3 linked regions of the Oreochromis niloticus genome follow. The protein of the gene in region 1 purifies or fractionates together with the protein of each later gene. This does not show direct contact. Links are inferred from orthologs where the notes say so. Each region holds a gene or a part of one and is shown in the gene's direction. Other genes may lie near its edges.

Region 1 (10,273 bases):
TGAACTAAGATCCTCAGACGTTCACTTGTAAACTGGTACATAACTTTGAACAAGCTCATCTGAAAGTAAAGATAATCTTTCCAAATACAAAATATGCCAGTTTTGATCACTTTTCTGAGAAAGATTATTAAACACTAGTAATAAACTCCACCACACCTTTTTAAAGAAGTCTTTGCTAGTCCCAATTAGAGCAAAGCTTTTTCTAAAATCTTGTTAACTGGAAACAGGCCTATAGTTACTGAGGGGATCAGGGTCCATGTTGTGTTTCTATAGGACTGTGTGACTGCGTGCTGACTGTGTGCTTTAAAACAAGATGAAATGACTCAGTTTACTGAGAAGTTATTAATTATAGCCATGTTTAAATACTTTTACCATATCTGACAAGTTTCACTCTGGTTTTAAAAGCATACATAGAAAAAAAACTACTCTGTTAAAGGCACATAATAATATGCTTTTGTCTGTCAGTCTACTATTTAGTCATGCTTGATCTCAGCATAGAATCTAACAAGTTCTTTAAAAATATCTGGAACACAAAGCTTGTCACGTTTTACACTGGTTTCCCTCCTCAAATATAGGAACGTCATGATCGAAAGACGAAGCTAGTCGGCTTCCAGTAGCTGTTGCATCCCACAAGGATCCATTTTTGTTCCTCTTCTGTTTTTAATCATACGTGTTACATACATCATGCATTGCCTTGATATTTCTGAAATAGATAAACACATGTTACCATTTGTCTATCTCTGTTATGTGAATGATACACAGTTTTATCTACCTGCCACACTTGACAGTGACTGTTCTCATGATGACCCTTTTTGACTGTTTCAGTGAGCTGAACTTCCTTCAACTAAACAATACCAAAACTGATGTTATTTTATTTGGCACAGCCAGCTCTATAAATATTCTAATTAAGGCATTCTATCCACATAAATTCAGACTCTAGTTAATGTTTCAGTGGATAGTTTCATGTCTTTTAATAATCAAATCAACTGAGAGTTTTTTTCTCCATATATAGGATGTTGAAACATCTGTCTGTGTCACCTTTCACCTGGATTACCATAACTTGCTGTAAATAAGACTGTCCAGTTTCACCCTTCCTTGATTACAGATTGTTCAAAACTGATTTTTTTAATGGTGCACAGAAAAGACAGCACATTATCCTGTTTTTGCTCAGTTGCACTGGTTATATGTGAAATAATTTTCTAAGTTTAGTATTATTAGTTTTCAAATACTCCATTTATTGGCTCCATAATATACTGCAGATCTTTTAACTCCATATTCTACCTTGAGGTCACTGAGTTCATCCTTCCAGTTTCTGTCAGTGTCAGTGACCCTTTCTTGCCTTTCTGTCTGGTCTTCTCGTTAACATGCATAGATGTGAAAGTTCTCTGTTAGAAAAGGAAATAAATACATGCAACATTTCACTATGTAATTTCTGTCATACCTTCTTGCTTCACAATATTGCAGCTGAACAATGGCTGGATTGCATTCTGGCCTGTTTGGACTGCTAAACTAGGCAGAATACAATAGAGACCTTGTATCATTTGAGCATTTTTGGATACAAGGGTAAATTTTTTTGAAAAGGTGTGCAATATCTAAAATTGCATTAAAAGATGAAATCAAATAAACTAATAATGTAGAAATCAGAACAGAGTCAATGGTATTGTAATTCTAAGTCAAACTGCGGTAAACTGCAGAGCAAACTTTTAGCAGTATACTTTCAATGAATGTAAATGGACTGGTGCTTTCTACAAAATCCATCATTCCCCCAATGGTACATGTATTTTTTTAGACCAAACATACTCTATTTTGGAAACAATTTTTAATCTTACAAGTATAAGCCAATGCAATAGAAAACATGATCCAAAAACACATCGAAACTGGTTTTGGAATAGATAAAGCAGGCTAACATTAAGCTTCTGGAATGGTCTTCCCAAAGGTCGAGTTGCAACCCTGTTGAAAATTTGCAGACTACTCTTAAAAGCCGAGTTAATGCTAGGAAACCAGTTAGTTTAAATGAACTCTGCCAATTTTGCCAACAAGAGTGCTCAAATATCCATCCAGAATTATGCTAGAAGCTTGTTGATGGCTACCAAAAGCATCTGGTCAAGGTGCAACTTGTGACCTTTGCGCAACCATTCAATCAATCAACAGTTAAAGAAACAATTAAAAGCCCCTAATTATCATAACATTATTGCCCTAGTGGAGTGTATGTAAACTTTTGATCACAAGTGTAAATAATTCCCCTACTGCACAGACCATGACCATCCAGTAAACTGTGTGAGAACCTATCATGCATCATTTGAAGATAGCACCGTGTTTTTCTGACACATGGTCACAGGAGCACATGGTTCAAGAAGTAGATAAGATTATTTTCTATAGAAATTTTAGCATTCAGTCAGGTTTTAATTTACTGCACATTGCATTAACTGTTTAGGAATTAACTGATCAAGCTCTCATTTTTGTTAATATAGTAATAGTTTTTATTACTTGAATAAAAACCCTTTGCAGTCTGAAGGCTAGAACCGATGGAAACCCTTTGATGCAGCTGCTGTCTTTATTTTTTGTTTGCGCATCTTTCTGCCTTCAGTTTTTATTTAATAACTGAAAAGTATGCGCTAAAGGGCTGAGATCAGATGACTGAGTTGGCAGTTAAAGAATATCTCCTTTCTTTGTCTTTATAAACTGTTGGGTTGCTTTTGCAATATGCTTTGAATCATTATTCATTTGCACCGTGTGGACTACGTAAATTAGTTTAAAGCGTTATTTTTGTACTTTTTACTTAAAGATGTTGTGATTTTTCTATTGCTCTCAGAACATTATTTCCTTCAACTAAACAATACCAAAACTGAAGTTATTTTTTTTGGCACAGCCAGCTCTATGAATATTCTAATTAAGGCATTCTATCCACATAAATTCGGACTCTAGTTACTTTAGTTACTCTTGTCACGTTTTACACTGGTTTCCCTCCTCAAATATAGGAACGTCATGATCGAAAGACGAAGCTAGTCGGCTTCCAGTAGCTGTTGCATCCCACAAGGATCCATTTTTGTTCCTCTTCTGTTTTTAATCATACGTGTTACATACATCATGCATTGCCTTGATATTTCTGAAATAAATAAACGCATGTTACCATTTGTCTATCTCTGTTATGTGAATGATACACAGTTTTATCTACCTGCCACACTTGACAGTGACTGTTCTCATGATGACCCTTTTTGACTGTTTCAATGAGCTGAACTTCCTTCAACTAAACAATACCAAAACTGATGTTATTTTATTTGGCACAGCCAGCTCTATAAATATTCTAATTAAGGCATTCTATCCACATAAATTCAGACTCTAGTTAATGTTTCAGTGGATAGTTTCATGTCTTTTAATAATCAAATCAACTGAGAGTTTTTTCTCCATATATAGGATGTTGAACCATCTGTCTGTGTCACCTTTCACCTGGATTACCATAACTTGCTGTAAATAAGACTGTCCAGTTTCACCCTTCCTTGATTACAGATTGTTCAAAACTGATTTTTTAATGGTGCACAGAAAAGACAGCACATTATCCTGTTTTTGCTCAGTTGCACTGGTTATATGTGAAATAATTTTCTAAGTTTAGTATTATTAGTTTTCAAATACTCCATTTATTGGCTCCATAATATACTGCAGATCTTTTAACTCCATATTCTACCTTGAGGTCACTGAGTTCATCCTTCCAGTTTCTGTCAGTGTCAGTGACCCTTTCTTGCCAGAGAACAAAAGGTAACCATGTCTTTGCTGGTTTTGCCCTAAGGCTCTGGAGTCTGCCATCCCACATAAAAACCACTGACAGTGCTAAAGCCAATACAGAAGTGCCTTAAGTCTGTATTCTATCTGACATCCAATAAATGGCAATAACTGTCATTCCAGAAAGACTTGTGGTATAGAAGTGTTTGGTAAAATGCCTTTCTGTCTGGTCTTCTCGTTAACATGCATAGATGTGAAAGTTCTCTGTTAGAAAAGGAAATAAATACATGCAACATTTCACTATGTAATTTCTGTCATACCTTCTTGCTTCACAATATTGCAGCTGAACAATGGCTGGATTGCATTCTGGCCTGTTTGGACTGCTAAACTAGGCAGAATACAATAGAGACCTTGTATCATTTGAGCTTTTTTTGGATACAAGGGTAAATTTGTTTGAAAAGGTGTGCAATATCTAAAATTGCATTAAAAGATGAAATCAAATAAACTAATAATGTAGAAATCAGAACAGAGTCAATGGTATCGTAACTCTAAGTCAAACTGCGGTAAACTGCAGAGCAAACTTTTAGCAGTATACTTTCAATGAATGTAAATGGACTGGTGCTTTCTACAAAATCCATCATTCCCCCAATGGTACATGTATTTTTTTAGACCAAACATACTCTATTTTGGAAACAATTTTTAATCTTACAAGTATAAGCCAATGCAATAGAAAACATGATCCAAAAACACATCGAAACTGGTTTTGGAATAGATAAAGCAGGCTAACATTAAGCTTCTGGAATGGTCTTCCCAAAGGTCGAGTTGCAACCCTGTTGAAAATTTGCAGACTACTCTTAAAAGCCGAGTTAATGCCAGGAAACCAGTTAGTTTAAATGAACTCTGCCAATTTTGCCAACAAGAGTGCTCAAATATCCATCCAGAATTATGCTAGAAGCTTGTTGATGGCTACCAAAAGCATCTGGTCAAGGTGCAACTTGTGACCTTTGTGCAACCATTCAATCAATCAACAGTTAAAGAAACAATTAAAAGCCCCTAATTATCATAACATTATTGCCCTAGTGGAGTGTATGTAAACTTTTGACCACAAGTGTAAATAATTCCCCTACTGCACAGACCATGACCATCCAGTAAGCTGTGTGAGAACCTATCATGCATCATTTGAAGATAGCACCGTGTTTTTCTGACACATGGTCACAGGAGCACATGGTTCAAGAAGTAGATAAGATTATTTCCTATAGAAATTTTAGCATTCAGTCAGGTTTTAATTTACTGCACATTGCATTAACTGTTTAGGAATTAACTGATCAAGCTCTCATTTTTGTTATTTTGATGATAGTTTGTATTACTTGAATAAAAACCCTTTGCAGTCTGAAGGCTAGAACCGATGGAAACCCTTTGATGCAGCTGCTGTCTTTATTTTTTGTTTGCGCATCTTTCTGCCTTCAGTTTTTATTTAATAACTGAAAAGTATGCGCTAAAGGGCTGAGATCAGATGACTGAGTTGGCAGTTAAAGAATATCTCCTTTCTTTGTCTTTATAAACTGTTGGGTTGCTTTTGCAATATGCTTTGAATCATTATCCATTTGCACCGTGTGGACTATGTAAATTAGTTTAAAGCGTTCTTTTTGTACTTTTTACTTTTTACTTTTACTCGGAACATTATTTTGAGGTGGGGGTGCCAAAAAGTGTTTAATCAATAACATGACCCAGAATGAAGTCATAAAGGACAGGGAGTAATTTTTATTGTGTACCATTACAATGTGTGAAGTGTAGGGGAACTGGTCTCAAGGTTTAAGTGACCTTTTCAGCCTGGAATTGAACCTATATTATAACAATAGAACTCCTTCTGAAACTCCACTCTTGGTTTTTATTGTTAAATGATGAGATATTAGCCCAATTTAATCAAAGACTTCTTTCTCTATCAGCAAAGGAGCAGCCCTACACTGCAAATATGACTAGTATTAGTAGTTACAGAGGGAAAAACAGTAGATAACTGTAAAATAAAGTAGTTCTTGATAAATGGTTCCTGTGACATTGCTCTAAATTACATTAGTTTGTAATACATTGTAGTGGATATGTGTGGAACTGACCCACCCTGCTGCACTCACAGCAGCTGTCCTCTGTATTTCAGCAGCTGGCAGTATACTCTGGCTCTAAGTGTGAGTCATACATTCAAATCATTTTGAGGATCTGACTCACTTCCAACATTTCACTTAATTTCAACTCTACCTAGAATTTGCCACAGATTTATTCCAAATGCCGGCATTTGATCTTACTGTATGCCCTGAGCTATATACAGTAAGTGGACATTAAGACCGCTGGCTCTGCTAAATATTTAGTTGTCTCCCTGGTAACAAATACACTTCTATTTTTAACTCCAAGTCTGCAGTTCCCCTCACAGTCAGGCTCAGCTCCACCAGGTTAAAATGTAACATTTTGGTGTTAACAAATGATCTTTCACTAATTAGCCTCACTTCACCAACATCTGCAAGTATTTGTTAACTGCTAAATTAGTTATTTACAGCTTTTAATTTCACTGTGAGTCAGCTCTTGGGCGTTTAGCAATGGCACAATTATATTGGCTGTTTGAAATGTCACTCAGGTTGAAGGCACCTCCCACTCTCTATATACTGGAGTCATCTGGTGGGGTGCAGAGAGGCAAGGCCCTGCAGCACTTTCATTTCTTCTCAGCTGTACTTAACCTTCTGCATCTGCCAAGATGATGAATGTAAGTAAAGATTTGACAACAATAGTTAACTTATATTACTTTGATTTTGATATGACTCTTTGGTTTACTGATATCGACAGTCTTAGGCCTTAAGCCTATTTTAAGCATTGAACTGACAGCTGGTCCTAGCTTTATCTTTACCAGGCTGATGTAATTGCATCAGCTAAACTGTACTAACTAAAAAGGATGTTTGCATTTAGTTTTTATTGACCTGTTAGGAGTTCTAATGTTTCAAATTTTTTGATGACCTTTTATGGTCAAAATATTCACCACAGAGCATATGCTTACATTATTTACTTCTCAATTGTTATTTCCTTTTTCTCATCTATAGTAAAAGATCAATGTCATGCCTATACATGAAAGTTAGCCTTAGTAATATAAACACATGATAGCACTTGAGTCTTTCATTTCAGTCACGCCTTCTCTTTTTCCCAGTGTCAGAGCTGAACAAAGGCTGCATTGCATTCTAGCATCTCTGAATTGATAAAATAGTCAGAATACAGTCAAGACCTTGTGTCTGTTTTTCCTTTTTTGGGCTAAAGGGGTGTTATGGTTTTAATGACATTAAGGGATAAAATGAAATAAAGTAATAACCTAGAAACAAGAACAGAGCCAACAATCCTGCAAATCTAAGCCAAACAGGGGTCAACAACAGTGCAAGCCTTAAGCAGAAGTGTAATTATCTCTCAAATAATGTCTCTGGCACTGTTAAGCTTCACTTTGTGTTGATTTCACACAGAAATGACAATTATTCATTCAGTTCAGTGAAGTTTATTTTAATAATGACTTTATTACTAGTAACGTGTTACTGTTTTAATAACTTGCCAGCTCGATTTCATCATCACAACAGTGACAGATTCAGTGAAGTGTCATGTCTTACACATTACATTATTCAGATTCCTTCATTAGGCAGAATGTCTGCAGCGTCACCGCCAGCTCGGACACAAGCCCAGTCCAGCACAGCAAGCTGCGCTGCCAAACACACTTTCTAACAGAGGAAGAATGTTCACATTACTATGCCTCCCTTACTTTCACTGGTTGATCTTTAAATAAATTATATGTTTTGCAGTGAGCTGTGGCGTGCCACGATTTCAGCCTGTTTATAGAAAAGTGCAGATCATTACATGTTTGTGTGTCTACAAAAGGGATATAAATGAAAGTACTGTTATCTGTGTACCAATAAACTCTGATATGGTTGTGACATATAAGTTAAGATGAACAGAATTTGGTTTAATTGGAATTTGACAGTGAACATATGTTACAGAATATGCAGAGGTCCTTGGAAAACTGTAGGATTGAGAATCACTGTCAAGAAGAGGTTGAGGTGAACAATGTTGCTCTAAGGCAGGGATGTCCAACTCCAGGCCTCAATGGCCGGTGTCCTGCATGTTTTAGATATCACTCTGGGTCAATACACTGGAATAAAATGATTAGTTCATTACCAGGCCTCTGGAGAACTTCAAGACATGTTGAGGAAGTAATTTAACAATTTAAATCAGCTGTGTTGGATCAAGGACACATCTAAAATCTGCAGGACACCGGCCCTTGAGGCCTGGAGTTGGACACCACTGCTCTAAGGTATTGCAACCTGACAGTTTGTCAACCTAGAAATCTAAATTATTTAATCAACAAAATATAGATACTAAGTCTTCATAGTCATGTTCAGTGGGAAAGTTTGGTCTCTTCACAAGCGAATCTAAAATTGTTAGCATGATCTAATATGATCAAGTATTCATGGTTATTTTTAGTAAGTGTTTGGTTTCTTGTTGACTGTATCTAGGATGTTTCTCTAACAACTGCAGCGTTTAAAACCCACACAAGTAGTCTGGGTTTCTGATCTTGTCCCTTGAAATGGAGGCAGGCAGTGAAGAAATACAAATGAATAAAAAAAATAAAATCTATAAAAGTTGCATTAGGAATTTAGGTGGAGAGTCTAACAGACTTATCTGATAACCTACATCTTTAGATTACTCTTTTAAGGACTTGTGCACTTGTACAATTTGACTTTAGTGGTAAATTATATCTGTGTAAGCTGTCTCTTCAAAGTAGCTGAACCTTCAGAAATAAAGCTAAAGTTACTTCTATTTGAAATTGACTATGAGAATTTAATTGAGTCAGTAATCTAAGGTAAATGCGGTTTTAAGCCGTGAAACGTGCTTGATTGTTGCTCTTCTTCCCCTTCCCTTTTTCTGTTTCAAATTCCCCATTAGAACAATTACAATTTCCTAATTGTTACACAAACCAGTATTTTCCTGCCACATGTACAGCAGGAACTGAATTTCTGCTAAGCTTAGTGTTTTTCCACTCCCGGTATCTAGTATTGCACTGAGGAAAATTTGACTCAGTTTAACAGTTGTCCCTCATCATTTTTCAACATTCAGTCTCTGCCAAAATCGGCATACAGAAAAATGTCCCTGGCAACCTCAGGACAAGAAAGAGCTGGAATATTTGACCAGCCAGTCAATGGGGATATAACTGAAAACACATGTTCTGCAATTTCTAGGGATAAAGTGAGGACTGGAGAATTGGCCGAGACTATAGCCAGTGCTGTTTTTTGCCTGAAGCTGTAATAATAATTGGATCTAATAAAAGTCAGTAGTATTACTAGACAATAATACACTGTATCACCAAACTTGCCTTCTTTTTTGAACAGGGTGTGTTTGTAAAGAACATGTCCTTCAAGGTTGGACAAACCATGACTGTTGTTGGAGTCACCAAACCTGAGGCTGGAGAGTAAGTATTGATTAAGGACGAGCTGTGTCATGATTTTGTAAATGAATGAATCACAGTAAAGTTAGAAAAATCTTCAATCAATATTCAACAAAATAAATTCTTGACAGGGTGTCGTTATCGCTGTATTTATCATTTAGTGCAAAAACTGATAGCTAATGTTATTGGCTAAAAAAATGAGTAAATTAGATTTTGTCTGTGTTAGCTGTCTCTTTAAAGTAGCTGAACCATCAGATATAAAGCTATGGAACATGTCATTTATCTTCCTGAACTTGACTTAGTTACTTCTATTTGAAATTGACTATGAGACATTAAGTGAGTCAGTAATCTAAGGTAAATGCGGTTTTAAGCCGTGAAACATGCTTGATTGTTGTTCTTCTTCCCCTTATATTTTACTTACTATGCTTATTTCTGTTTCAAATTCCCCATTAGGATTAGACTGAGCTACTTATTTAAAGTAAATGAGGTTTGTCACATGTCTGTACATTGCAGTTTTGCTGTGAATATCGGCCCCGGCGAGGACACAATTGCATTTCATCTCAACCCTCGTTTCAGTGCCCATGGAGACTCAAATATAATTGTCTGCAACTCTTTCGAGGGAGGCAGTTGGTGTCAGGAGCAACGCGAGCAAAGTTTTCCTTTCTCCCTGGGACAGGAGTTCAAGGTGTGAGAATGTGTGTGTATAGTTTAGCCTTGCATGGGTCATATGTAGTCTATTAGCTTCCTCTTTAGTCTGTATAGTGCCTCTCTCTGAGAGTGACCTCTGGTGGAAAATAAGTGCCACTGCATCTTTGATAACTTCATTATTTGATACTGCACACTCATCTGTGAGACCTTGATCGTTATACATCACATCTATTACAATATTTGATTCCTTTGTCTGTCTGTCTCTCTCACTGATAATACCTTTTAGATCTCCATTGAATTCACTCCTTCAGAGTTTGTGGTGACTTTACAAGATGGCTCAACATTCCGTTTCCCCAACCGCGTCGGTGCAGAGAAATACTCGGCCCTAAACTTTGATGGGGATGCTCGCATTCAAACCATTGACATCAAGTAAAGCGCCATCGTTTCTCA
Region 2 (10,667 bases), on another chromosome or scaffold:
CATATGTTAGAAAAACGAGACACTCATACTGTATTTTAATGGAACGCTCTATTTGATCCCCTTTATTGCCCTGTAGAGAACATATTCCCTCGAGCCTCCTAATTTTGCCATGGTCAGTGAGTTTACAGAAGTTCCTTTGTAGCCATTCTTGAATGAAAACAAGACTTCACACACACACAAAGGGAAAAAACACGTATAATTTTTTTCACAGGAGGAATTTGAGTTGTTTTTTGGCCTTATGCTCTGTCAGCTGTTGCTGCAGTGAATGCTGAAACTGATGAAGCATGCTATGACATCAAGCAAGAAAAAGCCTGGCAGAGAACCACCCACTCAACCACAAAAGCTTGTTACAGATGTTCCTCACTCCAGCACACCTGGTCTCTATAAGTCAGTGACTGCACTATTTGAAACGATACGTCACTTAGACATCTGAGCATAGCTCTTAAGAAAACATAACTTGATCCATTAAAGCTTACAAGTTGAATCCAGGGCATCTTCGTTTATGCCATGCATACCTTCTTCTTTGATATTTTTGTACTTCTCAGTAATTACCTGTCAATCAAACACTGAGAAAACATGGTATCCTTGGAACTGGTCTTGATATATCCTGAACAGTTATACTAACAACTACTGGTACAGGAGCTTATATAGCCAATGTTGTGAAGGGGAGGACAAAGCAAGAAGATAAAATAAGATTCAATTAAAAAAATGTGCAATCACACACAAGAAAAGCACAGAAGTGTTTACTGAATAAGGGATACTTTTGTTTGTTTGTTTTTCTCAAATATGATTTACAAGAAGATTGTCATTGTAAAGTCTGAGTTTTACATTTAATGGATCTGACTGTTAAGCTATAGTCCTCTAGTCTTTTTTAACTGGCTGTAATTCTGTGCTTAATTATATCTGTAGGGTAACTACTGAGTCACATGTACCAGTTGTAATGACACAAATACATATGTGACAACTTCAGCCTCTTTAAAACACAAATGCTTGCTAATGTGATATTCAAAGATTAAGCCATTAGAAAAAAGAAAAAATGTGGGAGAGGTCAGAGGTATTATTGGGATTGAGATGCAACTGGATATCATCTGCACTGAAATGAAAAGCAAGAGTTTTAGTGTGATTTCACCAAAAGCGAACATAAAGAAAATAATACCAGGCCTAACATTGAACCTTGGGGAACTCCGCAAATCGTTTATGCTAGCATTTATCTGTTTATTTTATCAGTAACCACATTTCTGTATGTTTTCTTCTTACAATAATTCTTACCATGCACTGTAGAGCTTTCACAAACTGAATATTGAGCACTTACACATGAAAAACATATGAAGTCATTTTAGGCAGTTTTAGGTAATCTACACTATGTATCAGGATTACATATATAGTGCAAGAAGAACGACAAATTGTGTGCTAGATAATATAAATATATTATCCCATTTGTAAAGCAGAAGGTTGTAATGCAAACAAAAACATTTTGATTTGAAACCCTATTGTTATCTTAAAAACTGTCAAAAGTGTGCACTATCCTCATCTAAGAATTTGTCTGAAGCAGACTTAAGTACTTTTTGTTCATTCAGGCACTAAAGCACAAAGATAAGCTGGATGTAGAATCACGTAAAGCAGTCTACCAAATGAATTACCACTAAAGTTTGCACATTTTTAGCTTTCAAATAAATTTTTGCAAACCCCCCCTACGGTGGCCCTGAAGTGCAAACCACAAAAACAAATCAAAACGAACAAAGCAAATGGACATGCAGCATGAAGTCCAGAAGCTCTGCTGCAGTTTCACGTGCTCTTAAGTATAGTTTATTTTAGTCAAAGCTTCCACACATAAACAACCAGGGTGGGAGAGTAAGAGCTCTTGAATCATTCTATAAACTGTTTAAGAAGAGTGTGACACAGCAGAAATGGAGATGAAAACAGAGAAATTTGCAAACAGACGAATTTTGCAATCTAATTCGACTGTATTGTAGAAACTACTTGCAAAAAAAGAATAAGGAGAGTGAGAATTTAAAAGTAGAGTCAAACTACTTAAGCAGAGAAAGAGAGGATTTTTTGTAATCATTTATAGACGTAGGAGATATCATACTGAAGGGATTTAAAATGTTGCACTTGTATATTTTAAGTCATTCTTGATTGTTTCCAGACTTAAATCTGAGCATGTCTTAAGGATGCAAACATTTTAAATCAACAAAGTTTTTTGTTTGTTTTGTACGCAGTAGAAAAATTGATGAACTACGTGGTTTAAATTTTGAAGACACTGGGCATGCTTATTTCCTTTTCCTTCATTATTTTCTTACCTGCACTGATGGCTTTTAGTGTGTGTGGATATGAGCTATGTTCTGACTCCATCCATGGTGAGACAGATTGGCAGATACAGATATAGAACACGGCTTATTGACTGGCAGTCCTGCCCATCTGTTGCGAGAACCATTTCCTATGATGTGTGAGATTTTAATCTTTTGATTTCCTTTTTCATTAACAACCCTTATATCTGAGAGACGGGTAGTGGAAGATGAGGGCCCAGATCTGTCTCTCTCTATATTTGAAAATCTGGAGTCTGGACCTCCAGCACTGGGGTTTGATAGCTGGTGAGGAAGCACTGTAACCAAAGGCTGACTAAAGGTTCATTTTAGACAGGAAACAATATGACTAACAATGAGCAAGACCAGTGTTTGTAGAAGAAAGCAAAGCGTTAAAAGCGATACTGTGCAATATCTTCTCTTTCTAATAGTAACTGGATTTGATTAACAAAAAAACACACTTTAAAGTATCAGGGTGATAATTAACCGCCTTAAAATAATTTGTTTTCCTGGCATCTTTTAAAGCAGTCTGCTTATTTATTTTCTGCAGACTGAAAATAAATCCGTGTGCCATATTGCTTAGGCTCATGGTGCAATGATATTATTGTAATATGCTATGTATGTAACATATGTAAGATTTATGTGTGTTAGACTGATATTCTAACACACATGAAGGAAGAGCCTTTATAGCACTGTGCAGGGTTTTCCAAGCTGATCATAATTAGCCATACAATGCACTAATGTAAGTACATACAGACAAATAGGGTGACAAGATGTGAGATTTTTAAGAACAGAAGCAAGACAAATTCCACTCTAGTGTTTTTTCAGGCATCAACATGCTGAACTAAGAATTATGCCCTGAGTTCATTCAACCTGTAATGAACTGCTCTGTTGCTTTCTTTTATGAATGATCCCTCTGATCAACTGAGTGATCAAAGCGGCACACACTTAATCACAGCTCTTCTCCATGAGGTAAAGAACTCAGAGAGGTAAACATTCCATCTGGAGAATGAAACAGGGACCTTTGATGGGTCAACAGCATCAATCAGAGTTTACTGTCCTGATCAGTGCTGAACCAGGGTTTTTATTGACTGTGCAGGTGATAAATAACCTCCACTGAACTATATTTAGGTGCAGAAGAATGATCCACCTCCCTGGTAGTCTCTCGCTTTTGTCTATGAGATTATTCCCTTTAGTTTCCATTCAGTAGCTTGTAAATTATTCTGGCAGTGCGGTCAATTCATGCTTTAAGAAAAGACGCCTGTTTGCTTCAAGTACCAGCAGATGGCGTCATAATAAGTCAGATATACTGACTGAAATGGATTGAAATAGATGAAATAGATTTTAAATGGTTTAGTGCAATCAAAATTGGCAAACAAAAAAATATGTTCTTTTTTTTTACTCGACTTTAGCAGTTTCCAGCCCTGCAGAATTTTTTCCCCCATATGGTCATAGGTTTGTTGACGTCCAAACATTGCAGCCCTTGTTGAAGAAGGCTCAGATTTGCTGGTCTAACACCAAAATTGTTTTTTCAAGGTTTTCCATCAGAGTTTGTAACCATGGCTGTGGACTTGGCTCTAATTCTTCCACACTTACAGAGGTGTACCACTGACATTTCGCAATAAGTACAGCTTTGTGCACTGGAGACCTGTCAAGACATGAAGACAGAAACACTTTTTTCTCCACACTCCTTTAAACCAGCAAAAGGGTCAGTTTTTCTCTTCACTTTCATGTTTTGATCTCAGCCATAGTGCAGCCTGGAACACATGAACAGAAAATAGAACTTAGTTGTTGTGTTGCAGGTGCTGTGGGTGCAGATGCAGATCATTCCTGCAGTGCACGTCATACACTGAGGTTTCCAAACTCTGTGTGTGACCGTGGTTCACCACCAGACCGAGCTTTTCCATCATCGTCTTCTACTGCTACCCAGCACGACAAGAACATGAGCCAAAACAGAGTTCACCACCACAGGAGCCACACAGACACACCCCAGGGGTATACACTCACACAAATGCACACGCCCTGTGTCGGACACACCCCTTGCCAAGCACATCAGAAATGCCCCAAGGTATGGCAAAACACAGTTGCTCCATCAAACATTGGCTACAGCAAGCCAAGGAGTGTATGAGAAACAGTCTTGCATGTGAGACTAAAACCTTTCTATCTTCTCATGCACAACAGAAGGTACTAAAACAGCTGAGCTGAACTGAAACTTGATCCTAATTACACATAAATCTTGCTAAGATTTCTAGCTTCATTATGTTAGTGCGTGAAATAGCTCACCACAAAATAAAACCAGAAACTGTCAACCTAAAGCTTTGATTTTGTACGCAAAGCATCAAACGTTGCGCTGTCCATTTTTTATGCTCTACTTGTATAATTGGTGTTCTCAGTTTTAACTTTGAACTCTTTTTAGAACTGTGTCATGTATATGTTATTTAGGATTTTGTTGCTTTATGAGTTTTTCCTCCTTTGACAAGAAATAGTCAATGAATGATGCACATTGACAGGTTAATTGCTCTCTAGTGTGTTGTCAGAGATAACCATGTTGTCCTCTGGGAAATCAAGGAGGAAGGTTTACTGTTGAAAACTGAGAAAATTAGGAGGATGGAGGAAACTATTACTCTGTCACGTTACTTTTCATAACTGACATCCTTGAAAGAGCTGTAAATCCAGTTTAACACTGAAAATGTCACAAATTCCACCACTGTAATACATTCTTCCCCATCTATTAGCTCACTGTGCAGTGAGTGCAAAAAGCCACCACCTGTGCAGATCCACAGCAGATTCCAAACTATTAATTCTGCATACACACTCTCTGTTTTCAGGCTTTCCAGTCTCCAGTCCGAATGCCCTCCTTTCAGGAAGTGGGACAAAGGAATTTTTTGAGCTGCCCACTGTGATTCATTGCTGACACACACACACACACACACAGTAGGTTTAGCCTTTATTTTAACTTAGCTCATTATTCATGGCTTAGTTTTAACACGACGACCGGCGCTCTGACTCAGAGGGGTTCTGGAGGAGAGTCAGGTGGAAGTTGAAAAAGAAAGAACTCTTCTTCTAGAAAGAGTTTTGTTCACGTTGTCTTTGTTTTACTATCAGGCAATGTAGTATCAGAGAATCTAAGTGTGCAGTTTTAAATTGGTTTAATATCGTTTTTTTTAGTCCCAAGAAGCAAAAAGGAAACATGGATTTTACAAAATATATATGTTGGCTGTAAAGAATGTGCTATTCCTTTAGTGCACAAGAGCTGGCATTAAACAAATGTAGGTTGTATGAAGACACAAGACAATAATAATGCACAATTATAACTATTTTATTAGTGCTTGATATTCTTAGCTCGAACACGTCGTTAATTCTTAGTTTAACAGCTCTTTCTTACATGTCTGCATTGCCTTATAGTGATAGACCGATTAGTTTCTGCAGCACCTGAAGAGCCGCACGCAGCTCCAGTGGAGGAAAGGAGGCGGGGCATTGCGCACCACGGGAGGAACTGAGATGTGAGCGGGTCTCTCTGCTGGATGCAGCCAGAGTTGAGTCCCACGCGTTTCAGCAACAGCAGGTCCACGGGCTTGACTAAAACCGAAGGGTTTAAAACTAGATTGGAAGAAAAAAAAAAAAACTTTGCAGGGGGTTTATTTGTTTCACCAAGAAGCGAAAAGAAGAATCCCGGGTCACTCTGGATTTATTGAGAAAGTCTCAGTCTTGAGTGATTGTCCAGCGGAATATGATTTGAATCAACAAGACGTACCGCACTGTTGCTCAATAACAGAAAAGCAGGTAAGTTTGTTTCCAGCTCCGCTAGTTTCGGGCTTTTTTTTTTTTTTTTTTTTTGTATGTTCTGTATATTCATGTATATACTGTATATTCATGCGTAAAAACGCAGCGTGGACCCTGACCCTCTCCTCCCCCTGCTCTGTATATCGCAGCCTGTTTGGAAATGTTTTTTCTGGCTCCTCACACCATTTCACCAACTTCCCATTTGTGTTTTCTGAGCCTCTAGCCATGACTCACTTTCCTTTCAAACTGAAAACATTTTCACTGTTTTCCACCTCGCCTTTTGTCTTTTGAAAAAAAAAAGAGAGAGAGAAAGAAACAGTCATGCTTAGAGGTTGTGATCTTTTTGTGTTTGGTGCAGGTGCACACTAATGTGCCCCCAATTACTCATAACAGATAAAAAGCAAGTCTTTGCTTCTCTTGACCCTGTCCTGGGATGAGAATGTTTTATAATAGAATCCTACATTGTTTAATGCTTATTTTCTTTGGCACACTATCGTCATCCTGCTGTGTTATTCCGTTTTTAACATGTATGAGTACCGCTTTATGTTTTCTGCCTTCAAGCACCTGTTAGTGCTGTCTGTGTGAAAATCTTCTCCGTGAAACATATGTTGCATCTGAAAGCTGAGTTTTCTCCCCCAGACTTGCTCTACAATAGCAAATGAGCTCGTACTATTCAGACATCGATATAAATCAGGCAGATAGCGCACACTGGGGGGTTCTGAATGAACTTATGCATAGCTATGGGCATGAATATAAAACCAAAACTAACTGTGCAGCATGTTATTGGCTTGTTTTGGTTTACAGCCTGGCTCTGTGTGTATGAAGACACATCCAGACAGAGAGCATGAAAATGCGCATTTTGCCAATTCTCTCTGGTGTGGCTGTTGCCCCCCCCCCAAAAAAACCCCTCCCAGTGGATTACCATTTAGTTGGTGGGGTTATTTATCATTTTGCTGGAAGGTGCCCCTTGCCTTCTCCCTCCCACCTCTTTTGTTTTAATTGAGTTTATCTTTGCTCCCTTGGGTACTTGCTGTCTAAACTTAGGCCAGTGCCTGCTTCAGCGTGTAGAATGGCCTCCTCTCGGGGTGATTCACTACTTTGCTTTGTGCTGTGGTCACATGGGAGCAGAGCAGAGCACCACAGAAGTGCTCGCCCAAGTCTTGTTGCTTGTTCATCCAGTGGTCAGTGAAGGCAGATGTTCAAGTGTCCATGATAAGAAGACTGATATCAAAGTTCTGTGTCACCAAAAAGCCTCCAGTGACTTGAATATGACTATATTAATTGCTTGTGGTGATGTGAGTAAACCCTGACTTTACTGCCTGACAGAGTTCTATTTGTGAGTCTAAATAAGGGATTTGAATCTTCCAAATCAGCACAAACTGGAGCTTTTCCCCAGAAGTTCACACTCTACACAATTAAGGCCACCTACTCAGAGAGGCATGTGATGAATGCTTTAGTGCTTGTTGTTATAGCAGCGATGTTTTAATAATTCATTTCCCGTGTCTCTTATTTCTGGAACAGGATGAATCTCTGTTTGCTTCATGCCATCATGTTGCTGTGGGCCATTCGCTCCAGCGTGCAGGGCCAGTGCGATAGATCATCAGAGGATACCAAACTCAACCTCTCTGTCACCTATGAGCTCCCATCGTTTACCGCAGAATTCCCAATCCAGAACATGGTGATACTGGATGGAGTCATCTATGTTGGTGCTGTAAACAGAATATATGCCCTGGCCCCAAACTTGAGAAAGCTGTCAGAGTACCACACAGGTCCGCTGCGTGCCAACGAGACCTGTGGCCAGAAGCTGAACGGAACAAGCAGCAGTGGAAGAGTAGACAACCACAACATTGCCTTAGTGGCGGAGAACATTTACGACAAGGGGTTGTACAGCTGTGGCTCAGCAGATAACGGTGTTTGCCGCCGTCACGTCCTGGATGATGGCGTGAGCGCAAAAAGTGTAGATGAAGAAGTCTACTGCTTTGCCGACAAGAAGAAACTGGAAACCGGGCAACCCGATGACTCAGATGTTGTAGTCAGCCCTTTGGGCTCCCAAGTGCTGAATGTGGAGAGCAATGTCATCCAATTTTTTGTTGGGAACTCAGAAATTCCCGGCAGAAGAAACATCTCAAGCAGTGCAAAACATCCCCACACCCTTTCTCTGCGGAAAATGAAGACAAGCCAGAATGGTTTTACTTTCTTCTCAAACAGATCATACATGGACCTGATTCCATCTCTACGTGGAAATTACTACCTGCGCTACGTTTACTCCTTCCAGAGTGGACCCTTCACCTACTTCCTGACCGTGCAGCAGGTGAGCAAGGACTCTCAGGCCTACCACTCCCGCATAGTCCGCATGTGCTCCGCAGACTCTGTGATTCGTCGCTACGTGGAAATGCCCCTTGAATGCATCAGCACCGATAAGCGGCGGCGACGGCGGCGCTCTGGGACAGGTGTGAAAGTGTTTAATATCTTGCAGGCAGCCTATGTCACTAAAGCGGGAATTGACCCGGAAATCCAGAAGCACCTGAAGGTGGAAGAGGACGATGATGTGCTGTTTGCTGCCTTTGCCAAAGGAAAGCCAAACTCTAAAGACCCAACACCTAATTCAGCGGTTTGTGTGATTGCCCTGAAACAAATCAACAGCATGTTCAAAACCTACATGGAGAAGTGCAACACCATAGAGCCATACCACTTCACTGGTTTAGACAAGAAGTCCTGCTACAATGTGGTAAGAGTTGGGAGTGGGAGGGGCTTAGAGTTCAGTAAAAGTCATTGTAGACCAGGGGTGGGGGAACGCCAGGCCTCAAAGCCGGTGTCCTGCAGGTTTTAGATGCATCCTTGATCCAACACAGCCGATTTAAATGGCTAAATGACCTCCTCAACATGTCATGAAGTTCTCAAGTGGCCTGGTAATGAACTAATCATTTGATTCAGGTGTGTTGACCCAGGGTGATATCTAAAACCTGCAGGACACAGGCCCTTGAGGCCTGGAGTTCCCCACCCCTGTTGTAGACTTTGAGGGGAAAAAAGAACAATCCCATTAAATAGAAAAAATGTATTTGGAAATAATGTTTGTCTTGCTTTTTATAGCGTTTCTCCATTTAAATTAAAAAACAAAACAATGTCCATGTATTGTTTCAAATATTTGGTCTTTCTAAGATATAATAGTTCTTGCAGTTATGTTCCAGTACAAGTCTGCAATGACTATTGCTGCATTCACATGTATTTTTCTGGCACTTTTTATGACTAGAGTGAGTTTTCCTGAAGGAAGTTTTAGAAGTGTTCCAGTGAAGTTTTACAAAGATGTCTGATTTTAATCTTTTAGAATTATAGACTTTACCTGTTAGACTAAATCCCATTTAGTTTGTTGGACGAAGAGACTGTAAGTTACTGGGTGGCCTCAGGTTCACACAGGCGTTGTATCTACTTGTGCTCGTCTAAGTGCCCTTGAGTAAGACACTGAAACATAACTTTGACCTCTGGCACCTGTTTTTAGGGGTGTACAGTGCAGTCTGTTGGTCAGGGGCAGCTCTCGCATTGTTCTGGCTCAGTAATCCAGCACACTGAACATGAAATTATAGAATGACAGCGAGCTAAAATTCCTGACCTTCAGCTTTAATTTGAAGTTGTTAACGTGCATATTAGATGAACAGTGTACAGCTTGTTGTCATCTCAAAAGACTCATTCCACATTTGGAGCAAGTTGGGAGGATGATCCATAATAAACAAAGACAGCCATGTAGATTTTTTTTTTTTAATGCCAAAATCACCAAACGTTCTTGACTTGCCCAATCTGTCCAACTCATCATATGCTTAACGTGTGCTAACGAAACATCATTTTCTAAAATAAGCAAAAATAAGAAAGAAACAGAAAATGTTGAACAGCAAAAGATCAGTGTGGATCTTTCCATGAGAGAGTTTATAGTTTCAGTCATTATATTGAAAAAGACCGAAGTATTAAATACAATTACATTTTCATTGCATGTTGATTGGATCAACATTTAAAAACATCTGCCTGATGCTGTGGGCCCTGGGCCCTTTGCTCTGTTCTTCAAGTCAATACTGAGAAGGTTTGGTGGTTAAGCACATTTCCTGCTCAGAGAGGTTGCTACTGTCACAGAGTGCAGTTGTCAAGTTAGGAGATGCTTTGCTCTGCAGCAATTTTCAGGTTGGTGGCATAAGTCAGAATAACATCCCCATAATGAGAGCCCAGGTTCCAGCATAAGACTGCATTGTAACAGGATGAGTAGCAGTAAATACTTAACTAACTACTTAGTGTTTTTAATGTTGTGGCTATCGGATTTGCTTTGGTTTCTTAAAATTTCTTTACCTTTAATCTGATGTGGAAGGATCTCTGAATTAAATCTGAAAGTCAGCTCTAGCTAATATGCTAGAGAAGTCCCCCCTCCTCGATTGCTGTTGCAAAATTGTTGAAGCTGGTCATCTTTTCTGCTTCGCCTCTGTCCTCTGATCTATCAGCAATGGCCCAATCAATCGGCTGAATCATCTGATCAATAATGACATGAAGTTAACTGCTGACCACCCTGACAAAGGGCCTGTCAATATGTGTACTAGAGCTTGC
Region 3 (10,557 bases), on another chromosome or scaffold:
ACACAACCCGAAAGGCTGAAGGTTAAAACATTATAATCATTAACAAGTAATAAAAATAAGTTCCAAATACACTAAGGATGTGGGCTCTAAGAGCTGGGGAAGGCAAGGCTAAACAGATAAGTTTTTAATCGAGATTTAAAAGATTGAATTGAATCAGACGCCCGAATAGCTAGGGGGAGGTTATTCCAGAGGTAGGGTGCGACAGCGGCGATTGCGCGGCCACCTCTGGTCTTGAGCCGAGATCTCGGTTGCACCAGGAGCATTTGGCCTGCTGATCTAAGCGCTCTCCCAGGGATATAAAAACTGAGGAGATCCGTAAGATAGCTGGGCGCGGTGTTGTTTATGATTTTAAAAGTGAGCAATAAAATTTTAAAATCAATACGAAATTTAATAGGGAGCCAGTGCAGGTCGGAAAGAACTGGAGTAATAGACTCAAACCTGCCAGTTCCAGTTAAGAGACGCGCAGCCGCATTTTGAACAAGCTGCAGTTTATGAATAAGGGCAGAATGGAGACCAGTATAAAGGGAATTACAATAATCTAACCTCGATGTAACAAAGGCATGGATAAGGTCTATGGTATCAAAAGCAGTGCTGTGGTATGCTACAAATGAGTTAGAAATGGTTAAAAGGCCATTCAGGCCTCTGGTACAGCAGGTATGTAAGACCCCGTTTCAGTAAAGAGTACTGAAACACAGAGAGCCAGAGAGCTCATTGCACTGCAACTTAACCAAACACAAAGTGAATCAGGAAAACCTCTTCATCAGTTTGTGAACACATGTGGTTCAAATAAACACAACCAAAAACAAGTTGCACAAATGGAAACATTTTCAGGCAACACAAAAAACGTTAAGTTAAATACACTGCTCACCAGCGGCTGTGTTATAGTCACAAAGCACTGAACTCCAGCCAGGTACATCACTTTGTTGTGACCCCTGGAAGGACATTGTGTTGTCCTCTGGGCTGAATGAAGTGCCTTCCTGTTGTGTTGTGAGTTTCCGTATTTGGATGTGTTGCGTGTGTTTGCAGTGCATTTTTGTCAAATTGATAACACATTATTGCTTCATTCACATCTTATTCTGCTGTTCGTCCTTATCGTCTGAGAAGTATCAGAACAATTCACCTCCTCTTCAATGGGACAGATACTGTTGGGATAACAACTTTAAACTTCGCACAGAAACCTGTTACTTGTGTCTATTGCATCAGTCATGTGAGAGCCAGCAGTATATAAATGTCAATCAAACTAGGTACAGCACAGTGGCAGATCTAAAAAAAAAGAGATCCACCCCTGGTACAGCAGGTATGTTGAGCCCTGAATTTCTCATATTTGCACAGTACAACTCACAAACACTGGTTGTTCAGACCCCCACCCCCAAACTGCAGTTTGTTCTTCTTCAATTTATCAAACATTATTGTAAAATTGTTCTACAATTTGTTGATGATTTTTGCAGATTGACAAAACTCTACCTTCGTTTACTTCTGAGAAACTCTGCCTCTCTAATTGTACATTGTCTCAGTTTAAACACTTGATATGTACTATTGTGAATAAAATGTGAGAGCGGATTCTTTTTTTTATTTTTTTGCACAACACCCTAACTTTTCCGGAAGTTGGTGTTGTGCAGAAAACAGTGATTGCGAGATTTCAGCTGAAGCTGACAAAAGTCACAAGAGTGACACCTGCACTGCTGATGTAATAAAAAACCAAAACAAACCTTAAGCAACTTTTATATAAACTAAAACTCAAAAATTGATTCTTTGCCCTCATAAACATTAAGTAACAACTTTGAACAAATTTGAACAGAGATATATAAAATCAAAAGTGTGTTTATTTAAATCAATGTAATGATTACGTTAATAGATTCATTAATCACTGCTTGGTAAATACCATTTACAGATTACAGAGTCCATTAAATGTAACATTTTATATTCCATGTAACAAAATTGTATGGACAGTTTACGTGTTATCAAATTACTTTTGATAGTAATCACTTTGGGCATAAATATGTCTTAAATGTAACCAGTGTCATTAATTTCATGACTTCCCGAGCTCAAAAGATACTTGAAGAACATGAATCGGTTCAAAATAAAGCAACTAGTTAACTCTGCACAGCCTCTTCATTTATCAGACAGTCTGGCTTACAATAAAGATTTCTGTCTTTTCTGAGATATTTGAAATCTCTGCTATCTATGTGAGATCCTCCCAGCTTTATCTACCAGAAATATTGTGTAACATGGACCCTATGTGACCCCAACCATGTACGGATTACTAAACAGCCCTACAGAGGACTCTACTGTCTATTTATAAGTTTTTGTTTAAAATGAAAACAACACGGGTGAAAGTGCCTAATGAGTCTTAATCTACAACAGCCAGAAGGCAAAACATTCCTAAAATAATTTTTTCCCTCTCATGGATACTCTGCAGGAAAAAAAAGAGCGATAGTTCAGTTTGTCCTTAAGGAACGTGATACTTTATGCTAATCAGTGCCTTTGTCTTCAGGTTGGACTTAAAGGTACATATTGTAAATTTTTGTTTAGCTACTTTCTCAAACTGAGAAAAATTAACGTAAGCTATCAACAGAAGTTAAAGAGACAACCACTACAACAAAAACACTGTCAAAAAAACACTGAGCTGACGAGATATTTACTCAAGTTAAAATGCAGCAGGGCCGCACTTTTCTGTAGCATCAATTTGTAGCACAAGATGGTAACGATTCCATGGTAACGATGACATTAAGAACATGTTTTTATTTACAAAGGCCGCCTAGAAAATATGAAGGCTTCTGGAGGAAATGGGGCTGAGACTACAAAACAAATAAAAAAATAAAAAAGAATAAGTGCACACATTTGAAAACACACCTACGGGTAAAAAGTATTTCCCCTGGTAAGTTTCAAGGAAGTGTGAACATGATACATCCTTGGAGTTATGTGGTTAAAGTTATTGACTGTCTCTGCTTTCACTTAGCTCCACAATTTACTCTGTGTGCTGGATGTTAACCTATTCAGTGTTAATTCCCAGAGTGGTTTTGTCTCCACTCAAGCAGCTTCAGCATTTGATTGTGATTCTGCAATTCTGCTCCAATAAAGCCACAAGCTTCTCTAGTGAAGAAGATAAACCCCAAACCACATGCTTTCAGTGACTGATAAAAATCTTGTGCTGTTAGCAGGCAACATCCTCTCTGGTGCTAGACGTATGCGCTGCCAGAAAATTGGTTGCTACATGACTCAGAGGGTGAAGATTGGTGAGGAGTGCACAAAGTTCCTTTTGTTTCAGCCGTTATGGTTACACCATCTGGGCACTCATAGTGTAGCCATACTCTTGTCAGTATGAATCCATCCTTCCATCCATCCATCCATCCATCCATCCATCCATCCAGTTTTTGTGATGTTCAGTTGAGACAGTTCACCAGTCTGTCAAAGCACTAACAAAACCTACTTTAAATGCACCTTTGCACATAAAATAGCATGCACCAGTATATAAGCATTTGAGATCAAACTAGTGTTAAATGTATATAACACTTTGTGTGACAGTAACAGTGATTCAGCCACCGACTCCGCCACCGGTAGAGGTTAGCTGACCTTATTATTCTGAGTTATTCTGTCTTAAGCTTGCATGACTTTCTTTCTTTCTTACTTCTTAAACGTATGGACTCTCAGAGTGTGCAGAAGGGTGGGAACAGTGGCCCGTCAGATTGCTACATAATAACTGCAGGGTCATTAACAGGAAATACCAACAAACACACTGAGTGAATGTGTATGTGAATGTGTATGTGTGCGTGAAGCCGAGTTCCTGTCTGACATCCACCATAACTGTTTTTCATGCTGTAGCTATTTTTATCTGAATGGCCAAAATCAGGCCGATTTTATGCGAGTTTTTCCCAGTTCTCCTTTCTGCTGAACAGGAGAAGTTTGTTACTTAAAGAAATTTAAAGGATGAGTTTTAATGTACTCCCTTAAAACGTTTGTGCTGCCTTTTGCTCATGTTTATGACTTTCTGCAAACATATCCTCTCATCTTTTCTTTGGTTTATTTAATCATGACTGGCTGAAAGTCTGGATTGAATCACAGACTGGCTGGAGATCTTCAGTGACTTTGCTGGGAAATCTGCCCCCCCACCACTACCCGATCTCCAGCTAAACATGGCTAACACCAGCTGTTCATCACTACAGACTACTTCACACTACTTATGCAGTCATTGTTTACTGAGTCCAGTAACAGTGAATTAAACAGTTGGAGTCACACAAAGTACTTCTGATGTAGTTATTTATTTTTAGCGAGTAGCCGGATGGATCAGATGAAAGGCTGCTTTTTAGGCGAGCTTTTTTGTCCCCTTGGTGACCAACAGGCAACACTACAAAGCTGAAAGTCTACAGATGTGCTAAAAATCTGGAAAGGGGAATTACAGAAGTGCTACACACTATTATCCGCATGTTAATGCTCTCCCGGTGCGAGAATATTGATCTTTACTGAAGAAGGAACTGTGCTAATGATTTCACAAGGTTCTTGTTGAGAGAGCTTTTCTATCATCCACTTATCATTTTAATATACACATGCTATAAACAGCAGGCTATAACTGGCAGCTATTTAAAGGAATCCCTCGATATGTATCCTAATCTGACCACCAGAATCTGTACTGTTGTAAGTTACCTGATTAAAGATGGACTTCGTGCATTCTTTTGAACACATTTTGTGCTTTTGCTGGCTCCAAACACCATTTTGATGAAGCATAACAGATTTCCAACAGCTAATCCAAATAAGAGTTGTTACAGAGTTCCCTGAGGGTGAATCCTGGTTATCCTACATTGGATCCATATTTTAGTTGTAACCAAGATCCTGCAAAACTAACACTGCCATCAACCTCAGCTATTTACCTGTTTCTTTGTTTTTTGGCGTTTAAAAAAGACTGGACACTGCCTGAAGTGCTGCTTCTCTGAACACAGCGTTAACGATACTTTAGATGGTCAGCTGACCAGAATTAGAGACCACATGATGACTGAGACATTCCACTGTGCTCACACTGCAGACATAAACTACTTTAAATAGAAGCAAAAAGTACATTAGGAAAATGTAACATCCTCTTTTCATAAATGTAATGAAGATGTCACATTTTTAATGCAGATCCCTTTAGTGATGGTTATGTCTGTTATGTACATACATTTGTAAGCTTCTGGGAAAGTGAAACATATTCAGATAAGCTTGTTAGCAATGATGTCCACTAGATGTTTTCTTGCTGTACTCACTGAGTGATCAGCAGATCAGGTCTTTTTTTTTTCTGCAAAAAACTTTGGTGACAAATGTCACAACAACAAGGAGTTTTGCATTCACTGCAATCCCTGTGTTGCTTCATTATAATTCTCAAGATTAAGTTAGAGGCCTGGAGGAAACTAATACGAAGTTATAATTCAGCAGCAGAGAAAGAAATACTCAGACCTATAAAGTAAAAGTAGTATTGTAGAAATTGTTTCAGAATTGTATATTACGGCATTATATGAAAAATGAAAAATGTTATTTTTTAATGCTTTAGTTATATTTTCTGGCAGGAAAACAACCTGTACTGCAAAAATGATCCAAATCCCAAATAGTGATTATATTTTTTACATTGTTATTGTGAGTCTTACGAGCATCTCATTGCATTCAGTCGGGTTTTAATAGCACTTGAAACAATGCATATTGTGGATATTTTATTTTTTATACTTAATTAAACCATTTCTAGTATCTATTCTGTTCATTTATATTTTCATAATTTTGGATAAAAAAAACCTTTCGAATTCAAACTCGTTATCTTTTAAAAAAAAAATAATTTGCAGGCCGAATAGTGCTTTATTCTTAAAGCTTCACGTGTTTCACAAATGAAAACAATAGAAACATCCGTTGTGAGGATGGATTTTTTAGAATAAAGGACTGTTTTAAACTTTAGGGCCACGACTGCTGTGTTTTTTGTCTTCATACTGTAAGAGAAGGACTTCTCACATTTGCTGTTTCTGAATATTTCCTGCGCGCATTGCGCGGTTCAGACACAGAGGTTCAGACAGTCACATTAGATCATGGCAGCGCTAACTCCATTCACACTTTAGTGACAACTGAAGAGGAAACGACTCTAACACACACGCACACCGCGCGCGCTCAGGCGGGGCTTGGGGGAAACACCGTTACACACGCACGCGCGCAAATAGAGAGGGGAGGGTCTCCGCGCGCTCATCTCTCAGTTTCATTGACTCCATGTGAAACTCTGCTCAACTCATGTTTTCACTGTGTTTTTTCTGTTTTTAACATTCAGACTCTATCGTCTTAGTTCTTCTTTCGTGTTGCACGTGTTTGCCCGAATAAGAACCTACAAGTCTCGTGCGAAGCCGGTGCACGCACGAGACTCTTTAGGAGACTTGAGGAGCAACAGGAGGATTTACGCACGAGCGAGACCCGCGGGGAATAATAAGGTGGATTTAACGGAGACTTCTTTGACGCGCTGCGGTTCTCCTGAGTCTGTCACCGGCAGTCCCTGGACCTGTCTGACCCGGGATAACAGCTGTCTGACCCGGGGTAGGCTTTCTGCTGTCTGAGCGGTACAGTAACCGAAATGTGGACCGTTTATACAGTGAATGACTGATAGAGCTGATGAAGAATCAAACACTGCTGTGGTTAAGGAGTCAGGCTGAAAAAAGCACTTCTGTGTTAACTGTTCAATGAGTCTGTAAATAAACTGGTAATAATGGCAGCAGTAAAGTCATAACTCTTCATATGACCCAAAAGTTTGGGGGTCTGGAAACTTGACAACAGTGTGTTTGAATGTCTGGATCATTACTTACAGTTTTTAACTAGCTGTTATTAAGCTCATGTTTATTTAGAAAAGTGTAACCGCTCACTTTGTACTTGACTCTGTAAGAGCAACCACAGCCCACCATGATTCAAACAGGCTAAAATAAGGAAATTAAGATGAATAAACAAATCCAGAGAAACAAAAGTACAATGAAAAATAGATTTGGCAGTTCTCCAATTTTGGAAAATCGACTTGATTGACTTTTTCTTGTTCACTGTTAGACAAGAAGAAAGATTGGCAGCACTCTCACTCACTCTCTCTCCTGCTGTATAGATTAGGAAACAGCCAGATGACAGTTAGCTGAGCTTTGCATATGTGCTGGAAGCAGAGGAAACTGATAGCCTGAGCAGACAGCAGAAACTCTTTGATTTTTATACTGATGGAACAGTAGATGTAACTTTTCTTTAACCTGAACAAATTAAGTGATTTCCTCTGCTTTCAGTCTGTGGTTGGATACAAGCAGCCACTGCCTGTGGTTTCATGTAAAACCAGACACCAGCGTACTTCACAGGGGTGTGTCTCCTAAGTAACTCTGAGGCTGTCTGACAGTTGATATATATCAGTATGGGTGTTTTTGGTTTAATCACCCGGTTATCTCATGTCTAGACTCAGTGAAACATTCAAACATCAAAAACTCATCTTTTAATTAGATTGCATTATTTTATTTACATATGCCAAAACTCAGGCTGACATATTTAGCGTGCTAGTAGTCTCTGATCTCACTGTGGTGTTAAATAAAGTGATGCATGCTCGAATTAAACATACTTTGTTCCATCACAGGTATCGATTGACATTAATTGCTCATAAATTAAGTAAATTAAAGCTGATTTTATTTATTTTTTTAGAATACATTTTCTGTTATTTGTTGGGAAATTACAACAACAAACAAGTCATTTCCCCTTTTTTCAATAAAGTCCAGTTTAATGAATTACTGATGTCCCACAGTGGAAACGCTGGTAATAACCTCACACTTGTGGAATGCCACATTTTGGGCAATCGTCACATAAATCCCACTCAGACACAACTAAACTGTGAAAAGAAAAATCTGGGAAAAATCTAAAGGAAACTTTAAAGATTTGCTTCAATGACCAACTGTGTAGCAATAAAATGTAAATTCCTGTACTCATTCAGCATAACCTCTGTTTTCTTGTTGCAGTTTGCCCTCCATCATGAAGGTCTCCGCGGCCAGTGTGTCTGCACTGGTCATGGTCTTAGTTCAGGCCCTGGTTCCTCCTGCTGCAGGATACAGTCTGGATCAGGACCACAGTCTGGAGTTTAAAGGCCCGCCTTCCTCCATGTTCGGATACTCAGTCCTGCTGTATCGCCACAACACAGAGAGCTGGTCTGGATCCCTACTAGTATTCACGTTATTGGTTTACTAACAACTCCCCAGCCCCCTCCAACCCTAACCCTGACTTTTGATCTGTTTATCTACTACTGATTGTTTACTGATGTGCTGTTGATCATCGTAAACTACATTTCAAAGAATGCTACATGCTAGTAATAACCTCACTCATGCACTTTAAATTGTAAAACAACTCACAGCTGTTCTTACAGTCTTATTCTAATTGATTTAATTACCATAGTAATGCTCCGTAAGCTGCCATCTTCACACAGTATCACTTTGTGTGTGTGTGCCCACACCAGTTAGCCAGTTCTTGCCAATGAGAGCAGCTCTTTGATGCTTCACACACAGATGCCATTTAGATACTTGAGACAAAGACAAAACCAGTGCTAAATGCCTCTCTTTCCCTCTTTTAGGTTAGTTGTTGGAGCGCCAGTCGCAAACACATCCTTCGATGGTTCAGTGTCTCCAGGAGCTGTTCTCCGCTGCAGCATCGCTGCTGTTGGACCCCGGGAATGCCACCACATGACTGCTGGTGTGTGTTTTTGTCAGCCTTTGTGTTTAGTCTTTTCCCCCTGCATTACTCCAGCTGTTGATGGAGATGAAACTCAGATGAGAGATGCAAGTTCAGCCAAAACATCCATTAGTGTGCTAGTGTTATAAACACATATATTTAATAAGTCTGGATGTACTGTAGATGCTATATAAGGTGAGTGAAGGTGATATGCTGACAGTCAACCACGTATCCATGTGTATGCAGATGTGACTCGGTGTGGAAAGACGTGTGAAGCCGAGCGTGATCACCAGTGGATGGGCGTCAGTTTATCCAGACAACCTGAAAAGGAAGGAGGACACATCCTGGTAACGCACACACACTCTCTCTGTGCTCCCCCCCCCATGTTATTAATGCTTTGTGAGCGACACTAAACACAGTTTTCTTAGTTTTATCATCTTCATTGGTTCAGCAGTTTCCTCAACATGGCCGTTGTGGCAGTTCTGTCAGACAAATCGCAAGTTTTAACGAAATGCAGTTCACCATTCTGGGTGAAGAGTGGTTTTTCCCTCCGTTTTACAGTGTGGCTGTTCAGAAAAGCTGTAAACTTTTGGTATTTCCAGTGAGGTAGGCCAGCATGTCATAAAAGACAGACACCATCTGAAAGACTGTAAATGCCAGCAGATAAGAGTTTGCAGTGCTTAACATTTCAGGGCTAGCGATGGTTGGTGGTGTGCTTTGAAGGCATGGTCCACATCATATAATATATAACCTAAAAAAGTTTTTTTTTTTAACAATTTTTATGGAAATCCCTTTTAGTGCTGGTTATGTAAAATCCGTCTCTCTGTATAAGCATTTCAGAGGAGCTATTGTGCTGTTAGGTTTGTTTGTTGCTGGGAAAGTGGTAGGTAATCAGACTAGATTAGTAACATTAGCAATGATGTCCACAATTCAGTGCTCACTGAGCCATCAGCAGATCTCACACACTTAGGGATGTGTCTCTTTTTTATTATAGTGACAAATGAATATCTCTTGCACTCCCTGTTTTACTCCATTATGACTCACAACATGAAGCAAAAAGAGGGAGTTAGAGAACTCAAAGAAACTAATCCACGGTGCAGGGTCACTGTAGAGAAACAGTAAACGCACATTAGCACAGTGTCACAAACAAACTCAGTGGTTATGGACTCTTATTTTTTTTTAAACAAAAATGCATTTTACTTCCAGCTTTAGGACAAAGAGTCAGCAGTCATTAAACAGCAGGTCAGTCACTTAGAAAGCCTGAAACATTTGCACAACAGACAGCAACATTTGAAAAGCCTGAAGGCATTTCTGTTACACACAGTGGAGGCAGTGATGTGATTGAGAAAGTATTTACAACACCGAGTGTCTCCTGTGATCGTCTGTGTTGCACAGGGGGGGAAATAAGCAAAGAAACATACAATGATAATGTTCAACACACACACACACACACACACACACACACACACACACACACACACACAGAGTTTCTGTTACAGTGACTTAGGTCATGGGAACAACAACACTCTGCTGCCAACGTGTGACTTAGTAATGAGTGCATGTCACATGTTGTTTGTGCGTGTGTGTGTGTGTGTTTTCAGGCCTGTGGTCACCGCTGGAAGAACGTCTTCTACTCAAAGAAAGATGGTCAGAACAACAAGCTTCCCAATGGGGTGTGTTATCGTTTTGGCAGCGACATGAAAACTTACAACGCTATGATCCCCTGTTACAGAGGTACACACACACATGCTGCTCTAATGGTTACACTTATTCCTCTCTTCCTACTAGAGAGAACAACTTTTTGACCTAGCAACCTTTTGTAGAACAGGGTAAAGAACTACAGAACTCCATGATGTCAATAAAGCTCACAAACATACAGTTGTCATAGTA

Evidence for each region.
Region 2: the proteins of beta-galactoside-binding lectin (region 1) and met purify together in Homo sapiens (affinity purification with mass spectrometry; 3 studies listed by BioGRID and IntAct, with this or other methods). This does not show direct contact. The link is inferred for Oreochromis niloticus from reciprocal best matches to the Homo sapiens genes LGALS1 and MET.
Region 3: the proteins of beta-galactoside-binding lectin (region 1) and itga4 purify together in Homo sapiens (affinity purification with mass spectrometry; 3 studies listed by BioGRID and IntAct, with this or other methods). This does not show direct contact. The link is inferred for Oreochromis niloticus from reciprocal best matches to the Homo sapiens genes LGALS1 and ITGA4.

The regions. Positions count from the first base shown.
Region 1 is NC_031969.2:16,229,839-16,240,111, forward strand, and holds the start of beta-galactoside-binding lectin, read left to right. Parts: upstream 1-6,330; 5' UTR 6,331-6,457; coding exon 6,458-6,466; intron 6,467-9,119; coding exon 9,120-9,199; intron 9,200-9,688; coding exon 9,689-9,860; intron 9,861-10,109; coding exon 10,110-10,256; 3' UTR 10,257-10,273. UniProt on the Homo sapiens protein: Lectin that binds beta-galactoside and a wide array of complex carbohydrates. Plays a role in regulating apoptosis, cell proliferation and cell differentiation. Inhibits CD45 protein phosphatase activity and therefore the dephosphorylation of Lyn kinase.
Region 2 is NC_031972.2:41,332,467-41,343,133, reverse strand, and holds the start of met (hepatocyte growth factor receptor), read left to right. Parts: upstream 1-5,765; 5' UTR 5,766-6,086; intron 6,087-7,607; 5' UTR 7,608-7,608; coding exon 7,609-8,814; intron 8,815-10,667. UniProt on the Homo sapiens protein: Receptor tyrosine kinase that transduces signals from the extracellular matrix into the cytoplasm by binding to hepatocyte growth factor/HGF ligand. Regulates many physiological processes including proliferation, scattering, morphogenesis and survival.
Region 3 is NC_031987.2:23,930,205-23,940,761, forward strand, and holds the start of itga4 (integrin alpha-4), read left to right. Parts: upstream 1-6,167; 5' UTR 6,168-6,554; intron 6,555-7,964; 5' UTR 7,965-7,977; coding exon 7,978-8,150; intron 8,151-8,569; coding exon 8,570-8,688; intron 8,689-8,913; coding exon 8,914-9,014; intron 9,015-10,268; coding exon 10,269-10,401; intron 10,402-10,557. UniProt on the Homo sapiens protein: Integrins alpha-4/beta-1 (VLA-4) and alpha-4/beta-7 are receptors for fibronectin. They recognize one or more domains within the alternatively spliced CS-1 and CS-5 regions of fibronectin. They are also receptors for VCAM1.